2 linked regions of the Neodiprion lecontei genome follow. The protein of the gene in region 1 purifies or fractionates together with the protein of each later gene. This does not show direct contact. Links are inferred from orthologs where the notes say so. Each region holds a gene or a part of one and is shown on either strand. Other genes may lie near its edges.

Region 1 (9,906 bases):
TATTCTTTAACAAAAGGATGGTCTAAATGGGAGTCCTTCAACTGACTCAAGTAGCGATTTACAACTTCTGGTGGCTTCCCCATATGCTGCGAAAGAACAATCATATTAATCAATGCATCTGGATTGTTGCTATCTTTGTCCAATGATTCTTGCAACGCCGATTCTGCCTCTTCATATTTTGCTTGTCCAATAAAGCATGTCGCTTGACCATTTAACAGCATGCTTGTGCTTGAATGTTTATCAATCATTTCCTGGAATCAGTGATAGAAATTAGTATGAAAGACTAAAAATCTGTTTTTCTCTGACAAATTATTGTCCAAGCTTATTGTTAGACCTTGAGACAATAAATATCAGACTACGATCAAGTTTTCCAAGTACCATAATGTGAGAATATCATCATTTCTACTTCTGATCAGCAGTTATCTGTACCTGGAATATATAATATGCATCTTGGAGTTTATCACCTCCGCTACTTATATTGAGCCAGGCTTGAGCTAATTGGGTTAAAGTAGCGTCGTCATCCTTTTCTTGCATTGCTTTAAGTTCTTTTCTTGCCAAATCGAGACGGTCCATTTTAAGATAAATTTGTAATGTAAGAGCGAGGCATTCCAGATTATCCGCATTTCGCAATATTCTTAATGCAGATTCTAAATTCTTTTCATGATAATAAATTGTCGCTGCAACAATCATGAAGTTGTGATTGTCTATATTAGCATTTTTGGCTATTTGGTCAAGTTCAGCAATGATCGCTTCACGCCTATTTGAATTGGCAAAGTATTCCGCCAGCATTTTCAGTGGCTGTAGATCTGATGGAGATGAATTATTTATTTCGTCCAGTACCACTCGGAATTTTCTTTGTGCTATGTAAACTCGGTACAGAAATACATCTCGTTCCAGAGCTATTTCTGACGTAGATGGCTATATTAAAGGATGAATAAGGGTAAAAATGTGATCACTTGTTCATCAATTTTGTTTATACGGTTGTTATTTAAATTATAATCTGATTGAGGTTATGTTAGGTTTGCGTATAAATCTCATTCGTCAGTAATACGGTACTGTAACAAAAAATAACAGGTAAAAGAATATTTAACAACGCGTTATGAAATAGTTACGAAAGTAATTACTCATTTATATGTATTTTTCATTTCAATAACTTGAGATTTCGTTCCGTAGAATTTCCAAATAGCAATCTATGAATTAGGTTAATGATTCAATGATCAACGCGTTTATTATGATTTCAGCAATACATATCATACGAAAGATTCGTTTGAGATTTAAACACAGAAATATCCCAAGCTAGGGCCAAGTGCAAAACAAATATTTGTGAAGTGTTTCAATAAAGTGTACAGGAGTCTACGTCGCCAACGGTGTAGCAGCAACTTGGCAGTTTGATAATAACACATGCAGAAGAACAGTATTGTTGAAACATTAAGAAAGATATTCTAGAAAACTGTTTATACCTTTACTTTTTGGGCTTCGTTGATACATTGTTGATAATTACCGATGTAAAAATGATTTTTAACATCGAATAATTCATCAACGTCGGCCTGCTGCTGACGTGCCATCTTTTTATACTGGCCCCTATCACACGTTACATCAATGTGTTCCAGTTTCAATCCGATTTGTAAACTAATCGTTGTTTATCGCGACCGATTCTAGCTCAAAATACGATTATACAATATATGGATTTTCTATTAATGGGATTATGCTGTGTCGTGTCGATGAAATTTTTCGAGCAAGGTATTTACCAAATTAAATGAAAATCCAACTATCGGACACTCGGCTTCCGATATATGGCCGGAGAGTCTACAGCTCTCTGGAACACGTGGGTAGAGTGCGTTTGCGCCACGTCCTGCACTGCAATGCGCATTTCAGCTTACATATGTTTTTACGGTACATAAATCGAGTCAACATGTAGTGTTAATTAACGATAGTACCGCAATTTACAATCCCGTATTCATAGATTGGAATGTCGAATTTCTTTCGATCAATGTAACTCGAAGAGCTTCGAAAAGGTTTCTGCTCTCGGTGTCAGTAGCTGTCAGTAGTACCTGTGGACCAAACATGGCGACCGATCCACGTTGTCGGTGATATTGCTTTTTTAGGTTATGGACGTTAAGCGAGATCGACGCGTTTATCTGCAATATCAAGTTATTGTTCCTTCATAAATTCGAATTTTATAACCTTGCGTTTACTAACTACGGCTAGACCGTTTAGAAGTACAAAAATGGACATCAGCGCGTTATTTAAAGCCTGTGTGAAGACTGTACGTCTTCGCAATAAAGCTTTGGGTATACCAAGCGACACAAAGTCCCCATTAAAAAAAACCACGAAGCAAACTCCGTTTTTCGGTAAAGCCAGAGACGTTTTAATGCAAATAACAAAGTTGAGAGATTTCTTGTTAGAAAATAGAAAGGCGTATTTAAATTTTGCCAATCACTTAACGAGTCTGCCGCAAATGAGCGAAGCTGAAAGAGACCAAATTGATTTAGGCGCACAGAAGATCATGACCACATGTTCTCATCTCATAAAAGATCTTGAAAGAGAATTGGCTGGATTTGATGGTGCACGTCAGGATTTGGAACACAGGGAAATTGTACTGTTATTGATTGAGAAATATTTGCGAAACGTCTGCAAGGTATATTCGGAGCAGAAAGCAATCAGAGTAAAAAGAGCTATGGAGATGAGGAAGATGGCTAGATTAGAATCAAATACAAGCAAATTGAAGCTGTCTAAATCATCGCTCAGCGTACCTGAAGTACAGGAGGAACGAGACCAGCTAAGCTCCAATGAATCGAGTCCGATGAAAATCCAGGAAATCAATGGGGATGTTAATTTATTGGCTGATGACGAGGAGCTCACTGCTGAAGATATTCAAATACTTGAATCCGAAAATGCTCAGCTGCATAACGAGTTGAATACGTTAACTGAAGAGGTAAAGCAAGTCGAGAGCAAAGTTGTACACATTGCTGAACTGCAGGAAATATTTACAGAAAAAGTATTGGATCAGGATAGAAATTTAGATAGATTAATGACAACGGTTGTTGGATCTACAGAAAATGTCAAAGAAGCCAATGAACAAATCCGTCAAGCCATTCAAAGGAATGCTGGTTTGAGAGTATGGATTTTATTTTTTCTCATTGTTATGTCATTTTCACTTTTATTCTTAGACTGGTATAACGATTGAAATAAATCTAAACTTAAGTCAAAGGATATTTACATTTTGTACTTCTAGTGTCCGATAAGATACGAAATATTGTTCAAATTGAAGAGAACGTAGCCTTGTTTCTGTATAAAATTGATCAAACTGTTCAGTCATTTCTAAACACGTCGAAGTGCAGATTTTGTCACCAAACATTATTTTCACATATTACTGGATGTGGCTGTGGTTTCGTCTTTTATAATTTTCATACACTAGTCGTGATTTATCTAATGACTATTTATAAGTTTACTGAAAATACATAATAAAATGAGATAGTCGAGTAAGACATTGATATATGTTTCGTTTTGTAGCAGTTTGTACTTTTTTATTATTCCCCTTAATTATTTTAGAATTTCATAATTTTTGGTAGTCAAACTTTACATGTTAATAGTTTGTGTAGAAAAATATGAATATTATTTTATGTAAAACTTGTGTACTACTTTGAGGAAATTATTTAGTATAAAATTCATTAATAGTAGGTACTGGTAATTCCGCATATTTGAAGTCCGCAAATTTGTGTAAAATGAATTACGGATATAAATAAGCAGAGAAAACAAATGGAAAAACATCAGAATTGCCAAAATATGTCAATATATTTCATGCTGGAAAAATTGTACATAAAACATTTGTATTTTATAATTCGTAATAGCAATAAACGAAATTATTAAAATAATATATGCGGTAGTATATTTTGATTGCAATCAAAATGACTTCATAATCAAAGTATCCACCCTATTTGTGAAAAAATGTTGTACGCAAAGGTAGGTTTTCCTTGTACCTTAAAAATCAGGTCCTATTATTCCTATTCCCGTCATTCCTTTCGTTCAATGGCTATCCTAAATATCGATATTATATTTCATTCATAATTTGATGCTCGCTTCATCTATGTAATTTCATCCCCTAGGTCAAGTTTATGAGTGAAAAAAACAAACTAGTTTTTGTTTTTAAATAAAATGACAATTGATCCAAACACTAAATTCTCCTTTTCATACTTGATTATTACACAAAAATAATCACGTGATGAATTAATCCTGCATTAATATTGGAACAATTCCTATAAATTCTTCCTCGATTGTCTGGAGTTGCCATTTGATACATTGGCACATATGTTAGTTTAGTTCATTTAATTTACGAAACTATAAATGAATCGTTGTCGTAAAATTAAAAAAATAATGAAGATATCAATTAAAATACATTTGAGTTGGTCGTAAAAAAATGTCGTAGATGAAAATAAACAGGGTAATAATAAAAATTATCGGGACATGTTAAAATTCACTCAGGGCTGCATAAAATTATAGGAATATTTAGGATGAGAATCGTATTGGAGAGATTGGCCTACAATTATGCATTGTACAATCCAAACTGTCGATACCAAAGGAATTTGCAAACTATCAGCCTTTTCAACCAGCCAAGACGGGCATCTGTTATCTGTCAGTACTGCGGTTACATGAGACAAATCGGTTTCTGTAAAAAAGAGAAATTCTTACACAACTGGGTTTGACATGCCTCTTTTATGCAAATGATTAATAGTTTATAGTGCATTAATTCCATTTTGCGACAGGTTTAGTCAAAATAAGCCTGTCAGTGTTTACTTGTTCATGTTAACAATTGTACTTTAAGAGAATATTTCTAGTTGCATTAGATTGTAGCTACCTGGGTCGTTTATTATTTGAACTACAGCACCGGCATTCTCGCAGATACTGCGCCAAAATTGAATTGTACGGTTGATCACGTTTCTGTTATCCAGTACTGGCAAGGCTATTATCATCCCATTAAATGGTTGTTTGATCAATCGATCGTACGATTCAATGTATTTCCTTTTCTCTTCACTCCAACCAGCTGGCAATTCGTATGGAGTAAGTTTGAGAGTTTTTTTCTAGGGGAGAAACATGCGATATAGTTTAATGTAAGTCTACTAACTTGGAAGTACAATTTTTCATAAACAGACCTTGTAATACTTACATCCCGACAGCACTGGATTACCCAGTTGTGACTGTAGGTTGGAATCCCAACCGAAAGGCATTGTATGCTCTTTGCCGTTAAATTTGGTACATTGGTGATAAGTTTAACCTTTTTATATTCAGATTGTGGTATTTGTTTAAAGGAATCATACACTATTCCTCCCCCGTTAACCAATTGTTTTTTCACCCTATCTTTCACAAAGGGCGTTTTAAGCCATTCCTCTTCATTTTCTGTTCCAGGATCCGAACACGAATCATCTGTATGATGACGTGAAATGACATCTGACGAGGTGGAGGTCAAAATGAAAGACATATTTTCAAATATTAACGATGATGCCGGAGGTATAGGTCCAAGTTCGGCATCGTCATGTATTTGCTTAGACTTGCCTCGCCCTCTCCCTTTCATTCTATCCGAAGGTCCCTTTGATATTGGAACTGATGGCATTGTTGGTAGTTCAGGTTCAACACCGTCCACATCATCTGTCGCTGAAATATCAGACTCGTTTGTTTTGGTTTCGCTTTCTGAAGTCAATATTGCTTGTTTATTTCCTTTAAGTTTAGGAAGACCAGAACCAGACGGAGATATGGATTTAGTTGTTTTGTTAGATCTTGGAGAAATGGCTTTCCTTGATTTGGGTGTCGACACAGTCGGAGTGGCAGCTCGCCTTGATCGTCTTTTACCATCGATTAAGTTGTCAAGACTAACTCGACCCAAGTGCTGCGGAGTTTTTGGTAGATTTTGTAAAGCCACATCCATCTCTTCCTTCAGAATTTGAGCCTGCCCTGGCATCAAGGATATGTCGTTGATTTGGACTCTAATTTTCTCCCCAGTGTCCATTTCCACTGTATAATATATCATATTTTTAACGTTCTCGGATTTCAAAATTATCCCCATTGATGCGTAGCCGTCTTCTTTGCTAGTAGCATAAACAGATAAACCTTCCCTCAATGATTCAGGCATAGGTATTACAAATTCCTCCATCACAAGTTTGCTTTTACCATCGTAAAACTTTATCCTATACTTGTCTTTAGTTTTACCTATAACTTCACCTGGGTAGTAAGTATTGTCTGACCATTTGGCAAATACGACTTTGCCTATCAATTCATCATTTGGCAAATTTTGTGGAGTTAGACTTCTCAGCGTCTCTGTTCTTGTGCTCAGGCTACTAGGAGTTGATAAACTTGTAATTTCTTTCGATAGCTTATCTGATTGAACACTGTCGTTGCTCTCACGTTTTTTGTTAACGTGCAGTCTGGCTTCTTGACTGGTAGTTACAATTTCTGGGGAGCCTTTCCTGATACCATTGCTTTTTGCAGTTCCATTAGTTGTACGTTTCCGTTTTAATAGTTTTTTAGCCTTTGTACTTTTCGGAGTTGACACTTGCGGGGGCATTTCTGTATCTTCTATTGTTTCTGGAGTAGATGATAATACTTTGTCTTCAATTTTGCCAGGTTCGTTATCAAGATGGAAGCTTTCTGGAGAATAAATGAAAGCATTTGCAGACTGCAAGAGCGCTTCTGAAATTAAGCGAGTATTCTTCCAACCATCAATAATTTTTTCTTCTGAGTGCACTTCCATTGGTGGCCTTCTAGCATGTTTCGCACGACCTTTTGGTTCAGAGAAGTTGGTGTTCTTCAGTAGTTTTGCAGCCAAAGAAGCAGCACTTGACAAGGAACTTGAGGAGCTTATCGTTGATGCAATGGAAAGCCTAGATAGGGGAAGTTGAAACAGTTGAGGATTGCTCATCACTGATCCTGGAGAATTATCTTTGTTGGCATTCCCAGATATATCAGCTAGACATCCAGACACATCACTATTTCTTCGAGCACCCGAATTTTCAAACACTGGCTCGCAATGTACATCCGTTACTTCTTTATAAATTATTTCTTTGGTAGTTTCGTCAATGTGTAACGTGTACTTCAAGTCGACATAGAATCTCGTTTTCTTTTCAATTACTGCTGTTTTGATACCCAATGATGCGTTCAATGGATTATCAGTTTTGTTATCAGATAATTTTTGTGTATTAACATTGCCAAAAAGACTATCTCCTTCACTGTCAGTAACAACATTCACCATCTCCAAGGTGTCATTTAGTTTAGGGCTGGATCGAAAACTTTGTTCTGTATTTGGGTGACTTGCGATGGACGCAGAAGTCTCACCTTTATTTAGTCCTGTCACTACATCATCAACAAATGGATCAGATTCGCTGACCAAACTGACCGTCTTTGCGTTGCTATTCATAGTTAAATCGTCATCATTTGATGTATGGCAATCTAATATTTGGCTGTCATCATTATGTTTGTGGACTTCTGTACAACCTGTGGACTTGTAGCTTGATTCACTGTTAGTTTTGCTGTCCAAGCAGCTCTTATAAATTGTTGTATTTTTAGGGCTTTCCTCGTTTGAATCATCCAAAATAATCTTTTCCCCTTCTTCATCAATTTCCACCAAGCCTAAACACCTTTTTTTCTCTTGGCTCGAAGATTTTCTGTCGTATATTACCTCAATGCTCATTCGTGACTTATTTGAACCATGAGATCCTGTATCGCAAGTAGATTCTACGTTACTGTCACTAGTTGGCAGAGGCACGTCAAAAAATTCCTTAGCCACATTGTCGGAAACATTAACTTCCTTTTCACTAAACTTTGTACTTTTGCAACTCTTTTTCTCAATCAAATCTGTACTCACAATATTTGAGCTGTCATCAGTATTGCACATTTTATCATCTTCAGTTGTCTCTTGCACATCTTTTCCATTGGTATTCATTTCTGAAGTCTCACCAGAGGCTTCTATCAACATGTTTCCATCAGGTTGTGGAACCACTTTCTCGCTGTCTGACAAAGCACTATTACTGTCGAATGAATTGGGTTTACTATTAGCTGCATCAAGTTCTGAATCACGTTTATCTGTAGAACGTGGATTCTTCTCATCAGATTCATCTGATTTAACATTTGAACTCATATTTTCCAGAGCAGTCAAATCACTTGAAATAACTGGTTCAGATTCAACTGAATCTTGTGTTTCTGCAATAACTACATTTTTATAAGTTTGAGTAGCACGTAGGTCTAATTTCTCTGCATCGTCAATATTTTCGGTATTTTCAGAAAGGATATCTAATGGTTTTTGTGTATCTTCAATAGGTACTTCATTCAAGATTAATTTTGTATCTGCATTTCCCATGTTTCTATCCAGTTTTAAGGCATCTCTTTGTGCTAGAGTTCGCTGGATTTTAGCTGCTGGTTCATCAAAAGAATCAGCCTTACGTTTCCTGGATGGAGAAGAAATTTCAGGTGGAGTACCTTGAATAATTTCTTCTTCGTCGCTCCCCTTTCTGTCATTACATTTTGAATCATGAGCATCGTTCTCCATGTTTAAACCTTGAATATCCTTTTCTTCACTCAGTTTCTTTTCGTGGATATAAATATTTTGTGTCTTATGAAAAATCTCTGGTTTTGTCGGATTATCATTAATGATTTCTGTCTTTGATAGAATAGTTTTTTGTTCTACAGAGTCTCCACCAGCTTCAGCTTCGCAAACATTTTTCACAATTTGGGACTGAGATGTTGTACTTTCATCTGAATCTTCAGCAACAACCAAAGCAAAATCTTGACTTTCATCCAACATTTGGCTTCCACTTATGTTTTGCGCTTTCTCATAATAAGTTTCTTGTGAATCCACTACGGGATTGTCATTTTCTTGATTTTCAGCCATTTTTTATTACTTGAAATTAAAAATCTGTAACAAAAAAATATGATATATACAATCAAAGGCTTTCTTGTTTCTAATTACAGTTAAAACAATTACAGTACTTACGAGTCATCGAGAAGTTATCATGTTTTCTTTTTTATGATGTATTAATAACAAAATAAAATCGTTAAACAGTTCCGATTCGTTAATTTTTTTGTGGAGATCGGCAAGCATGCAGAATTATATGATACATTATATTTGGACCAAAAATACTGATTGAGTATAAATAAATCCAATCCACTTTTCCCTAGACTTTGATGCAACTAGGATTTGGAAAATATTACAAATGCAAAATTTCATTTGAGCATGTGAGCTAAAAATATTCTAGTCGTTTACCTTTAATTCTATGTGAACTTTCTAATATTTCTATCCACATTTTATTCTGTTTTCATTGGTTCTTAAAGTTACTTTTAGAAAATGCTGTTGCAAGATATGCAGAAAACTTATTTAAATCAATTTAATCAATCAAATTAACCAATAAAAACGTAAATGAACAATGTACTGAACGGCTGGTAAAATCTATCAAAAACATTGAGTTCATATGTACATTATTCAAAAGTTAAGCAGCTGTCAGAAATTTCCGAACTATTTCATCAAAATATTAGTAATTATTGCATACCAAAAAATGTGTATATAATAATTGCTGCATGTTATGCACGGTAAATTTTTTTTACAAAGCTGAAGAAATAATGCTCGACAATGTATACGTTATCTTTTATATTGGTCATTTGAGACTTTTACAGCTTTCTATGAGAAATTTGGGTTTTTTGTACCAATACATAGTAATTAGTTAATTCCAAATTGAAAATATATATGATGCAAATTTTGAAATGGTAGTTATCAGTAGTTATTGGCAGAGGCAAAAACCATAAATAAATCGTTGAATGAATTGTTTAATCTAGACCCCTGAGTAGCTACACAGTAATTTGACCTAAGAATCTTCACAACAGCCTTTATTTTGCTGCGTCAAACTATCCGGCGCCTTAACCTATACA
Region 2 (11,107 bases), on another chromosome or scaffold:
ACCTGTTCGACCTGAAGAGATTGTTGCGTCTGTAGTAGTGAAGGTACTTCTACGTTGTTAATATCTTCTTGAAAGTCTCTTGGAGTACTAGATTCTTTTATTTGATTGACACTCGCCTTTGGTTCATTGTCCAATGTTTCCCTATTCATGGAATCATGCGATCCATAAATATTCCGTTTCTGCAGGACAGGGGTAACAACTTCCAAGTTGCCAAACTCAGTAGACTGCTGTATGTTTTCATAATTTTCAATGTTCTGCTCATGCATCCACTTTTGTGATTTACCCTGATGATCATTGCGATACCAACTATTTTCTGATTGAGCCACAGGATTGCGCTGCGCATACCATTGATCATACCCAGCATTTTGTGGAACAGTTTCGGCAGCCCTACTGTTCTCAGGTTGATGTGTTTGAGGTAATACATGTTCTTGAGGCTCAAACTGAGATGTGGTAAGTGGATTATCCAAACTTTGTTCAGGCTCTAAAGCATGAGCTCTTTCACTTGAATCACGGTAGGGTTCTGGCTGTGCACTGGCTACACTTTCACGTGGTGAATTATCTGATGGATTTTCTGACCCTGAAATAGGTTGAGAACTCCAGCCATCTGTAGAGTGACTTGAGGAATGCATATCAGATGAAAGGGTCTGATTTTCCAATTGCCTATTAGATTTGTTAGAAAGCCGTAAATGACTAAAACTACTAGACAACTCGGCAGTGGGAATAGTATTCCATTCCGCAGTCGTCGACCAATCTGCCTCGGTGTTATTTTGAGCCATAGCATTTGAAGTTACATTAACATCACCGTCAGGCCAATTTGATTCATCCGAAATTTTTTTTTCAATTGCATTAGGTTTTGTTGGTATCGGCAAGTCATTTACAAACGAGGAACTCGGTGATAATATACCCACAGATCTCTTCCTTTCATTATTGTGATTGTTACCACTTAGAATTTGCTCCGCAGTGTTAGATGTATGAGAAACTGCAGAGCCTGTTGATGATGCAAAATGTGACGGAGGAGACTGAGCATGTTGCCAATCGTTTATACTTTTATTATTTTTTGCTGATTCAAGAGAGTCATGTTGTTGATGAGGTGCAGAAATTGAATCCTTTTCCGAAGCTACCAATTCCACAGGCCTTTGTGCAGGGGTCCAATCTTTTGGCATTACATTTTCATATTGAGGTTGCCGTGGTTGCCATTGATTTGAAGGAACATTTTGATCAGCTTGATTGAGTATTGATGGAGTGGATTGTGTGCCTACTGGTTCTTCAGCAGGAACAGGTGGCTGAAACATTGGCTGTTGCCACTGATTCATAACCGTAGTTCCCATATTCTGATGCAGAATAGGCTGTGTTGCTTCATTTGAAGTATTGCGTGAATAATTTGAGGGCCATTGATTAGTCAAATTACTCTGTTGATGTTGTTGACTGTTCCAGTTAGTATAGTATTCGGATTGTCCTGGCGAAGTATATTCCTTAGGTGGATCAAACGTTTGAGAAGTCTGTTGCCCCTGTTGAGACTGATTAATATTTTCTATGGGCTGTTGCTTGTTTGCTACCAATGATGGTTCTTGCCAGGACCCACTGACTGACGCGGCATTATGATTTTGCCAGTTACGAAGCGAAGGATCCAACTGTTGGTCGCTATTGTTCCAATTGTAGGTATTTGTTTGAGGAGGAAGTGGAGGAGTCTGTATTTTTTTGATGTTATCCAGCTGAGCACCTGAATTATTACCAAGGGACGGTAAATTTGGTGTCTGTTGACTGCTGATAGACCATTGCGAATGATCAGCAGGACTTGACTTAGAATTAGGCCTAGGTGGTAAATGATATTGTTGTTGCTGTTGCTGTTGTGGTGGCTGATTATATTCGTAAGACGTGTATTGATTATAACCATCTTTATTACTTGGTGTAGATTCTCTGCTTAGACTCGTCCGTGGAATATTACCACCAGAAGTAGGCTGTTGATTAAGTACATTGGGTCTACTATTTCTGTTAAAATTCGGATAATACATTCCCTGCTGTGGATTCTGTATACTTTGACTATTATTGGTGCGGCCAGAAGGAAATTGATGATGCTGAGAAAGCTGATGTAGAGACTCTGACTTTTGATCAGTGTTTGAATTCCACGAATCACTATTGCCATTATTACCGTTATCGGTACCCCAATCCCAGGGATCATGAGATTGCTGTTGTGGCTGGTGCTGTTGCTGCTGCTGCTGCTGCTGCTGCTGAGGTTGAATCAGAGAATTGGGCTGTTGCTGATAAACATTCGCTGGCAAAATTCCTGATCGTCTCTCAGGCTGCATAGAACTCCAAGTGTTTTGACTCTGAGATCCATACCCTGACACTGCGGCATGATCCACCCTAGCTCTAGCTGGTCTCGCACGATATGGATTCTGGAAAATAATTTAGAATTAATTTCGTTCCAGTTGTTATGTTACATTGTAGGATGGTTCAGTGCGATAAACCATGTGTTACTTACGTTCATATTACTTCTGCTCCAACACCACACTTATCGTAAGCTTGATATTTAAAACCTGAACAAAAAACAGAAGATATTGACAATAGGTGTACATAAACCACTGGTAAATTTTTGGAGTTTCTGCAGCAAATAATTAGGCCGTTAGCAAGCTAAATGAAAAATAACTGCGGCATCGTCAAATAATTTAAAATAACAGCATTTAAGGATGCACAGGTGCAAGTCTAAGCCTTCTTTTTTCGTTCATTCAAAACCACTGTATTCTTAATCACTCGATGATATTACAAAAATAATATTGCTATTCATCATGACGATCAAGAATGAGTTCATTGAATTCCAATCTTGACCAGTTGTAGTATAGTATTATTTATGAGAAATGTCAAGTGTTTTGTTGAAGAGTAAAAATGGGTGACAGGATATCCTGTCCATAATTAGCTTATCAATTTATTTAAACTAATTGGAAGAGACGTCAAGGTCCTTGGTAAAGATAAGAAAAACAACGAGTATAGACATGCGATGATACATCCCAAGAAAAGGTTCGTTTGCAGTGACAACACTTTAAACTTTGAAAGATTTATAAATCCTTCCATACATCAAACTTGTTCTTGATGAAGTTTCAAATATATGCAGAATCAAAAGAATTGAGTCTTAAAGCCGCAACTTGTGAGTGAAGAATCTGTTTCAATACTAATGTAAACGGTCGCATAATTACATAACAAGAAACACAATGTAAATTTCAATGATTTTCACACGAAGTAGCGAATGCCTGTCGGGAAATTACAGGTGATATGGACCTCGGAAGCCAGAAAATACCTTCCCAGCTGTGATATTACCAACTCGTTGTGACGATACCAAACTATCGTATTATTTTCTCAAGTCATTTACTCACCTAGTTAACGTTCTGGCAGCTAGCGCTATCACACATTGTCACGAACACCTGAGTAATAAATGAATTTACGATAAATTTAGCACATTTTCACATCCATAACATGCTAAGAAAACTGTTGTACAAACACGAGCATTTGACGGTGGAAAATCTGGGTTAAGCACGTCACAAACTTCTTCCGTTCACTGGCGTTAAGGTGGAATACCTCGGTCACAATTGTCAGGGTGTTGAGCACAATTCTCCGACAGATAGCGGTAAAAGGTGTCACGGTTCTCAACCCGCCGTATTTCCTTTGAATTAAATTTAAAAAATACCTACTTCTGACGCGAATCAGTAACTCGCGGGCTTTTTAATACCGAACCAACGATTCTACACGCAAAATTTGTCACGCCGACAATTTTATTGCGTTATTAATAGTGCCTGGTTATCCGGTATGCAAAAGACTCACCGATGAGTTGACAACCACGATTTTGGTGCGTCGAGTAAGCCGGCTGTTAAATTCACATCTTTTTTCACAAGAATATTGCATTACAAGTTTTGCGGAACTTGGATAAATCTGAGGTTTCGTAATTTATTATAACAGTTTTTAGCGCTCAATTGTCAACAATAATTCGTTATATTAACCTTCGGTAAACAATTTACAGTAAGTCAACGACGCGCATGCAGCGACTGACGTGGTAAATTCTAAATGGAGTTTTCCGATGTCGGCCACATCAGTTACCAGCGCTGTACAAATGGGCTTTTGGAGGTTCAATGAGTAGACGGACTGCTGTTTTTATCTGAATAAATCTGGATATTCCATAAATTCCAATAAAAATGGTGTTATTAACCATGATCGCGAGGTTAGCCGACGGCCTGCCGCTAGCCGCTACAATGCGGGACGATGAACAGGTTAGATTGCTGTTAAAAACGACTGTTATGATGAAATGTCACTTTCTCATTAATTTCCATATTTATTGCCAAATCGTCCTGTCTTGTTCTCAAAATTCTATCCATATAATGGCCAAGCGCTCGCCCTTTAGTGAATAAAAATTTTAATTATTGATACATTACTCTTTGTAATTATTATCAAGAATCCGTAGTTCATTCATGACTTGTTGCAATCATTTAGTTTAATACAATTTTATCACTCGTTTTTGCTCCTATTCCTAGAACAATATGCTGATCCAATTCAGTAAGCACACGTCTTTTCTCTTATTCATTTTCGCAGAGTTTCAAAGCTCTTTCTTTACTCCGTTCAACGCATTCTTACTAAATCACGTATTGTGCATTGAACCTTGATCATCTTGATTCCGTATCCAAATGTTCAAATTAATATCAATATCGTAGCAATGTTGATTATAAAAAATTTAATGTTTTACTTACAGAGTGGCAGAAGTATTCTGGAATATCAGAATCAAGCCAAAATGTTATTCAGGAAACTTGGGCCACAATCGCCATTGAGATGCACGATAGAAACTGGACCATATTTATTTCAGTAAGAACGATCATGTTATCTTACTACGTCATTTTGTTATTCTTTTTCTATTATATTTAATGTATGCATGAATTATAAAAAACAATAATACACATTGTTTAAAGCTGTAAGTTAATAATTTCAAATGTATGTGAATGTGAAGGAAGTTGAAAATTTTTTGGTTTCCTATTACAGTTACCTTATCGAAAAAGAAGCTTGTTACTTGGTATTGTGTGAACGAAATTACAGTAAACGTGTAGCTTACAGCTATCTTGAAGATATTGCACAAGAGTTTGATGCACAATATGGTAAAAAGATCAACACCGTCACTAGACCTTACAGTTTCATTGAATTTGGTAAGAGAACTTTTACTTTTAGACTTGCTTCGGTTAGTCAAAGCTCATATATTCAAGGCATGTTTTTTTCATATAAATCATTGCCTTTGCAGACACGTATATTCAAAAGGCAAAAAAGGCTTTCTCAGATAATCGGTCCAGGAGAAATATGAGCGCTCTGAACAACCAATTACACGATGTTACAAGAATCATGGTTCAAAATATCGATGATGTTCTTTCGAGAGGAGCTATGCTTTCAGGTAATTTCTATGGTTATTCTGAACATTGTCAACCGACATTTCAACACAACTCCGATTATAGGCATTGCATGCTGACTTGTAATTGTTCTGATAAATATCTTCATTTTCCAGAATTAGATACCAAAACGCAGAACTTGTCAATGTTGTCACAAAAGTACAGAAAGGATGCCACGCATTTGAACAGCAAATCAATGTACATAAAGGCAGTTGCAGGGATAGTTGCATTCCTCGTCTTCCTACTGTACTTTTTCATCCTATAATTGATGAGTATGAATTTTTATTGTGTTATTGATTTAAATGGAATCGATAAATTCTTCACCTATGAGAGGGCGTGCGTGCGAAATATTTTGACCATTGTGTATTGTGGAGAATGTCTTTTTGTTTCACATTCAGTGAAACTGAAATATTATATATTTATGTATACTGACTTCAAGCGTAAAATACGACGTTTAGTTGATATAAAGAATTTGAACGGCATGATATATGCAGAGTAGAGCCTCGATTGTGTCCATGATGAGTTTCCAGTCTTATTTCTGTATAATCGGAAGGTGTGATTTAGTTAGGCAACAAATTGTTTTTCATTTTTAATTCTCAAACAAAGCTTTGAACTTCTATGAGTAGAGATACAATAGTTTTATATTAATCTACGATTCAATCATTTAAATTTCTCAATGTATAAAAATTGAAACAAAAATCGGAAAACTGCAATGCAATAGGAATATCATAGGCATTATTGCGTACTAAGAGCTCTTTGAAAAGTTACACGAACAGATGTTTCTGTTATTATGTAATGTTACTTGCTTACAGCAAAACTACTTCTGTAAAGATCTATACTGCTACAGGTTTTCGCACGGGCGATTGAATATAGAATTCTATTCTTCATGTGATGTAACACTTTCAAAATGATTTTCATTCGATGGATATTCGTGTTTAAATATAAGCATACGTATTTTGCTTCAACTTCCGAATACACGAATCAAATTTATTTTTAATTCCATCAAAGTGAGTAAACCTAATCTGTTTTTTATGGGAATTTGACATATTATGCATAGCCAATCCCATTGAAAACTCTTAGGAAATTATGTATTATTTACGTGGTATAAAGTATTGTTGGGGAAAACATACATAAAAAATAGCTCTCATTGTTGAAAGAGACATAGGGTCTATGGAAATTGTGTAATATAGTAGCCTGTATTCATGATTAATAATATTATTATTGTATTTGTATCAAATTCGGTTACACTGTTCTAGTGAACGTTCTATTTACAATAAAAGCTTGAATTTCTACCAAATATTTGGTCATGCATGGAAATGCATAAAAGTAACTCAGATGAAGCGTTTCAATCTATTACTTCTTACCTATAATTTCACGGAAATGTTTTGCACATAATTCAACGGTTTTAATTAGAATTGATTAGTTGAAGTTATTATTTTCAGAAGCTGTGCATACTTGAATACCCCAAGTTATCTCAGCGATATGATAACCTTCTAACGATTTTATAAATTTGAGTACATTTTATTTTTTGAAACCATTTCCATACTTTCATTTTCTGAATCTGTTAGATCATTGTCAAAGAAAAAGTTTACTGGAACTCCTTCATTCTTCTTTTTAACTCTCTGATTATTTGTATGTTTTCTTTTGAGGTTTCCTCTTGTTTGTTCAGCCTCTGTTGACGCCTCTTCTTCATCTGTTGATATTCAGTGCAATGCAATATAGAGTTCAAATATGGTGGTATAAATTGTTCAAGCTACGAAATATGAAGTTGAAGCTAATAGCCAAAAGTGTTAAACTCTTTGAAAATAGTCAAATGCAGCTCAGTTTTACGCTCATAATTCTATAAAAGTATTGAGGATTCGAGGTATTTCACAAAATTTTTATTTGGACTTCACTACCTTATTCAAATGAACATTAAAACGGTTGGCTGCTAATTCTGACTGCTAGTTTCAGCCTCGTCTGCCAAATTGACACCTTTACTTTTGAATAATACCACTCACCAGTGTCTACAATCTCGTACATATCTGAATGATCTTTCAGTATCACATAGAAAACAGGAAATTCTATGATAGTTTTATTCTCCAGATTTTCGTTCAGTGTTTCAGTAAGGTTCAGCTCGTGAAATCTGATAAAAATAAATGTGTCAATTGATATTCGAAGACGATAAAGTGTCAGTCCGATAATCTTTCTATAATCAGAGCAAAACAAACCTTGAATCACATCTCTTCACTTTCTCAGCTTTTAGAAGGACTTTGATATTGCTAAAACCAGCTGCTCGGTAATACTGTAATTTTTCTCTGTACGCTATCTTCAAATTTATTACTTCGATACTCTCACTACCTTCGGTTTCTATTGTCAAAGGATCTAAAACTCTACCTAGTATCGTAGACAATCTCTCAGTTTCCAGGACACTGAAAGATTGAAGTAAACATTGCGTTCTAAATCACAAAATTAGCGTTTATCTAGAAACAATTCTGGATAATGTATTAAATTACACTTTACCGATTATCATTATGCTTCATATTCTCTGCTTGCGGAAAAATCCATTCAATCCTCCAAAACAATTCATTTGTTTTCCATTTATAATATGTTGTATTGATTTTATGTCTGCTAAAGTTTTGAGGTAAAAATTCCAATTTTGTATTCCTGTGATGGACAGCTGTCTTTAACTTATGCAAATGCTGCAATATTAAGGTAGTGGGATTAGGTACAAAATATTTTGAATCGTTGATTGTGAAATCAAATCTGTTGCAAACATGAAAGTTTCATTGGCAAAAACTGTGTTCACTGAATCTTACTCTCGACTGAAACTAAATATACATCATCAATAATTGACTTGCGTTAAACTCACCACTGGCAGATTACCTAGTCTTGTATACTTCTTGGAAGGATCTCTCTGAAATGAATCTACAGATCTACCGACCTCTTCAAGCAATCGATAATCTATCAAATAATATTAACATAAGTGTAAATGCACTGGCATCCAGTACAACTTCAGAAAAATAGTATGATGAGCGTTAATTTACTCACCGCTCAATACGTCGAGATCTGTGAATGCTTTCAGAGGTACGAATTTAGTCTTGTCGCGTATTCCATCACAATCCAATTCTTTCTTGTGTATCTTTACGCAGTCCAGACAGCATGTTCTAACCTCACATTTAGGACACGTGTACTTCGCACTCCTTCCTCCACAGACTTCGCACTCTTCCAACCTATTTACAATATTTAATTATTAGCGTTACTATTTCAGAAATGTTAAGTGTGAATTTGTTTGTCAATATGATTCCAATACATCATGAATAATTGTCGATAAAAAGATTACGGATAGCACATACTTGACGCTGCACGTCGCCATTTTAAATCACGTGGTATCCCCGGCAAGTTGACAATCAAGTGGAATCGTCAAAATCCGCGAATATCGAAGTCCGATTCTCATTTGCAAATGTGAAACGCGAATATCAAATTGATTGTCAATCGCATAAGTTGTGACTGTTGAATGATTTGTAGTGGTTGGATTCAAAATTTAGACAGAGCTATTTGTTGCATCCTCGAACAGATTTATTATCGCCAGGGAAACATTGAAAATTTCTTCAGTCAACGTATTCGGCTCTTCTTTGTTTAATCGGTGTGAACTTGGGTGATATACGTATTGTCAGACAAGAGGAAGCATAGCATTATCGCGTAATTGAGATCATTTACTAAAAGCGTGAATTTTCTAGAAGCTTCTGTAAAAAACCCAGGTGAGTATGTTTATAATTCCAGATTTCTTTAAGGATTAAACTTTATAACAAGCTCAGCTCCTGCACGTTTGGTTGTGCAACATGTTGTACAGGTGGATAAATTTTCAACTCATAACTGCGAATATTGTTTACTTTTTATTGCTGCATATTCTATTTTTGCAATGTTATATACGAAAATCATTCTTACAACAAGTGATGATCAATGAAATGATAACTTTGACTAACAATACACTAGGTGCATGTATCTGCAATTAAAAAGCCATTAAATTATTTATTTTGATTCGTGGGAAAAAATAAACCTGATTTCACCTCAGCACTATACGTGGTAATTGCTTTTATTCGATTACAATAAATATTACCGAATAAAATAACTTTGTTCATTACTCTATAATCATGTATTATTTTTATATATTCACTAGGGGCTTCGCCCCTGCGCGCTTCGCGCGCCAACCCCATCTCGGCGCTACGCGCCTCGGGCACTCGGCGCTGCGCGCCTCGTTGTTCGGCGCTTCGCGCCTCACTATTTCCTTACGCATTGTCTAGTAGACAGGCGAATTCCTTCATGTTGATTTAATGACAGGTCCTGCACTTGCTGTCCACTTCAATTCCTTCTGTGCTTACTTTTCTTTTTTTCATCAATCTAAGCTTCCATTCGTTGGTTGAAAATTGGTGTTCCTTCTCTATTGATATCTGTCTATCTCCTTGACTTGCTGAATTAATTTTGCTACCGCTCTGCCCGTTATTCTCCAAAATCACCTTCTTTATATTATTTTTTTCTCTATATTTGCGTTGATGTTCATTCCGCAAAACACCTCTTTCTCTTGTGGTCAACATCGATCCTGGTCGTCCTCTTTCCTGGTTATACGAATATTTGGTGGATATTATTCTATGGCTTATTTGGTTCTTCGCACTTACAATTTTATTTTCCTCTTTCTTTTGTGATATTTCCGACCATCCACCATCTTCATCGCCTTGTCTGCTGCTTGAAACTCCTCCTTTCTCCATTGTCATCGTAAATCCTGGCTGTCCTTTTGACTGTTCGGTGATATATTTAGATTTACTATTATTTGATTGTTACTTTTCATACTTATTACTCACTATCTGAATTTTATTTTGGTTCTGTAAGACATCAAAGTGTCCACTCTCTCCGTCACCGGTGAAGAGTAGCGAGAATTGTGTTCCATTTTGTGATCCGATCCGGTGTGGATGAATTTGTTCTTCGCGATACTCGATTTAACATATCTTAAAAATTTCCGCAGCTGCATATATTGCATTTTTATTCATATGTGATTTGTAATCACCAGGTCACCTAATCACAGCACCGTTTGACTCATTACCTGTAATAAAACCCGCAAATGTAGACCAATTATCCACTATATTTGAAACGATACTCAGTCTCACCTCTGCGTGTCGATCTTGAGTGCCGTATACACAATACGCCAACGCGCGAAAAAGACAATTCCTGTCGGGAATCATCGTTATAATTTTCGTTTGCATGTTCATTTTTTGCGCGTCAGAAACAGATACCTATAAAGATATTTGTCAAAGACTGTCATAAACAGCCGATGACAGCTGTCAAAGGGTTTGCTGGATGCTTTTTGTTTTGTTTTCGGTATCTCACCCCACCGCCAACTTCATGCGTATACTATTGTTATTATAATCTTTTTTTACTATTGTTATTATAATCTTTTTTTACTATTGTTATTATAATCTTTTTCCGCGTTCATTTGTTTGAAACTTTTTTATTAGATAGAGAGATACTGCAGTTTCATACATTTGTACTGAATACTACGTTGAGACTAAAGATTGTGGAATCTTTTCGATATATTTCCGACGTACATACATACCATTTGAAATATGCATGTATGTATGAGCGTATTCCTGTATGTATGTATGTATGTACATTGATTTGTTTTTCAGTCAGAGATATATAAAATTATGAATATCTCTACGTCA

Evidence for each region.
Region 2: the proteins of syntaxin-18 (region 1) and vesicle-trafficking protein SEC22b purify together in Homo sapiens (affinity purification with mass spectrometry; 5 studies listed by BioGRID and IntAct, counting the BioPlex papers as one, with this or other methods). This does not show direct contact. The link is inferred for Neodiprion lecontei from reciprocal best matches to the Homo sapiens genes STX18 and SEC22B.

What each region holds. Positions count from the first base shown.
Region 1 is NC_060265.1:18,619,129-18,629,034, reverse strand, and holds syntaxin-18, read left to right. Parts: upstream 1-1,842; 5' UTR 1,843-2,227; coding exon 2,228-3,187; 3' UTR 3,188-3,934; downstream 3,935-9,906. Other genes in the region: coatomer subunit epsilon, read right to left, coding at 1-251, 430-918, 1,461-1,565; uncharacterized protein LOC107220043, read right to left, coding at 4,479-4,666, 4,856-5,078, 5,165-8,875. UniProt on the Homo sapiens protein: Syntaxin that may be involved in targeting and fusion of Golgi-derived retrograde transport vesicles with the ER.
Region 2 is NC_060262.1:28,172,386-28,183,492, forward strand, and holds the start of vesicle-trafficking protein SEC22b, read left to right. Parts: upstream 1-3,813; 5' UTR 3,814-3,926; intron 3,927-4,009; 5' UTR 4,010-4,181; coding exon 4,182-4,256; intron 4,257-4,732; coding exon 4,733-4,842; intron 4,843-5,016; coding exon 5,017-5,177; intron 5,178-5,269; coding exon 5,270-5,416; intron 5,417-5,527; coding exon 5,528-5,676; 3' UTR 5,677-5,683; exon of another isoform or gene 5,684-6,913; coding exon of another isoform or gene 6,914-7,104; intron 7,105-7,411; coding exon of another isoform or gene 7,412-7,536; intron 7,537-7,621; coding exon of another isoform or gene 7,622-7,822; intron 7,823-7,913; coding exon of another isoform or gene 7,914-8,092; intron 8,093-8,262; coding exon of another isoform or gene 8,263-8,354; intron 8,355-8,441; coding exon of another isoform or gene 8,442-8,623; intron 8,624-8,746; coding exon of another isoform or gene 8,747-8,766; exon of another isoform or gene 8,767-9,108; intron 9,109-11,092; exon of another isoform or gene 11,093-11,107. Other genes in the region: uncharacterized protein LOC107223481, read right to left, coding at 3-2,396, 2,483-2,488; box C/D snoRNA protein 1, read right to left, coding at 6,914-7,104, 7,412-7,536, 7,622-7,822, 7,914-8,092, 8,263-8,354, 8,442-8,623, 8,747-8,766. UniProt on the Homo sapiens protein: SNARE involved in targeting and fusion of ER-derived transport vesicles with the Golgi complex as well as Golgi-derived retrograde transport vesicles with the ER.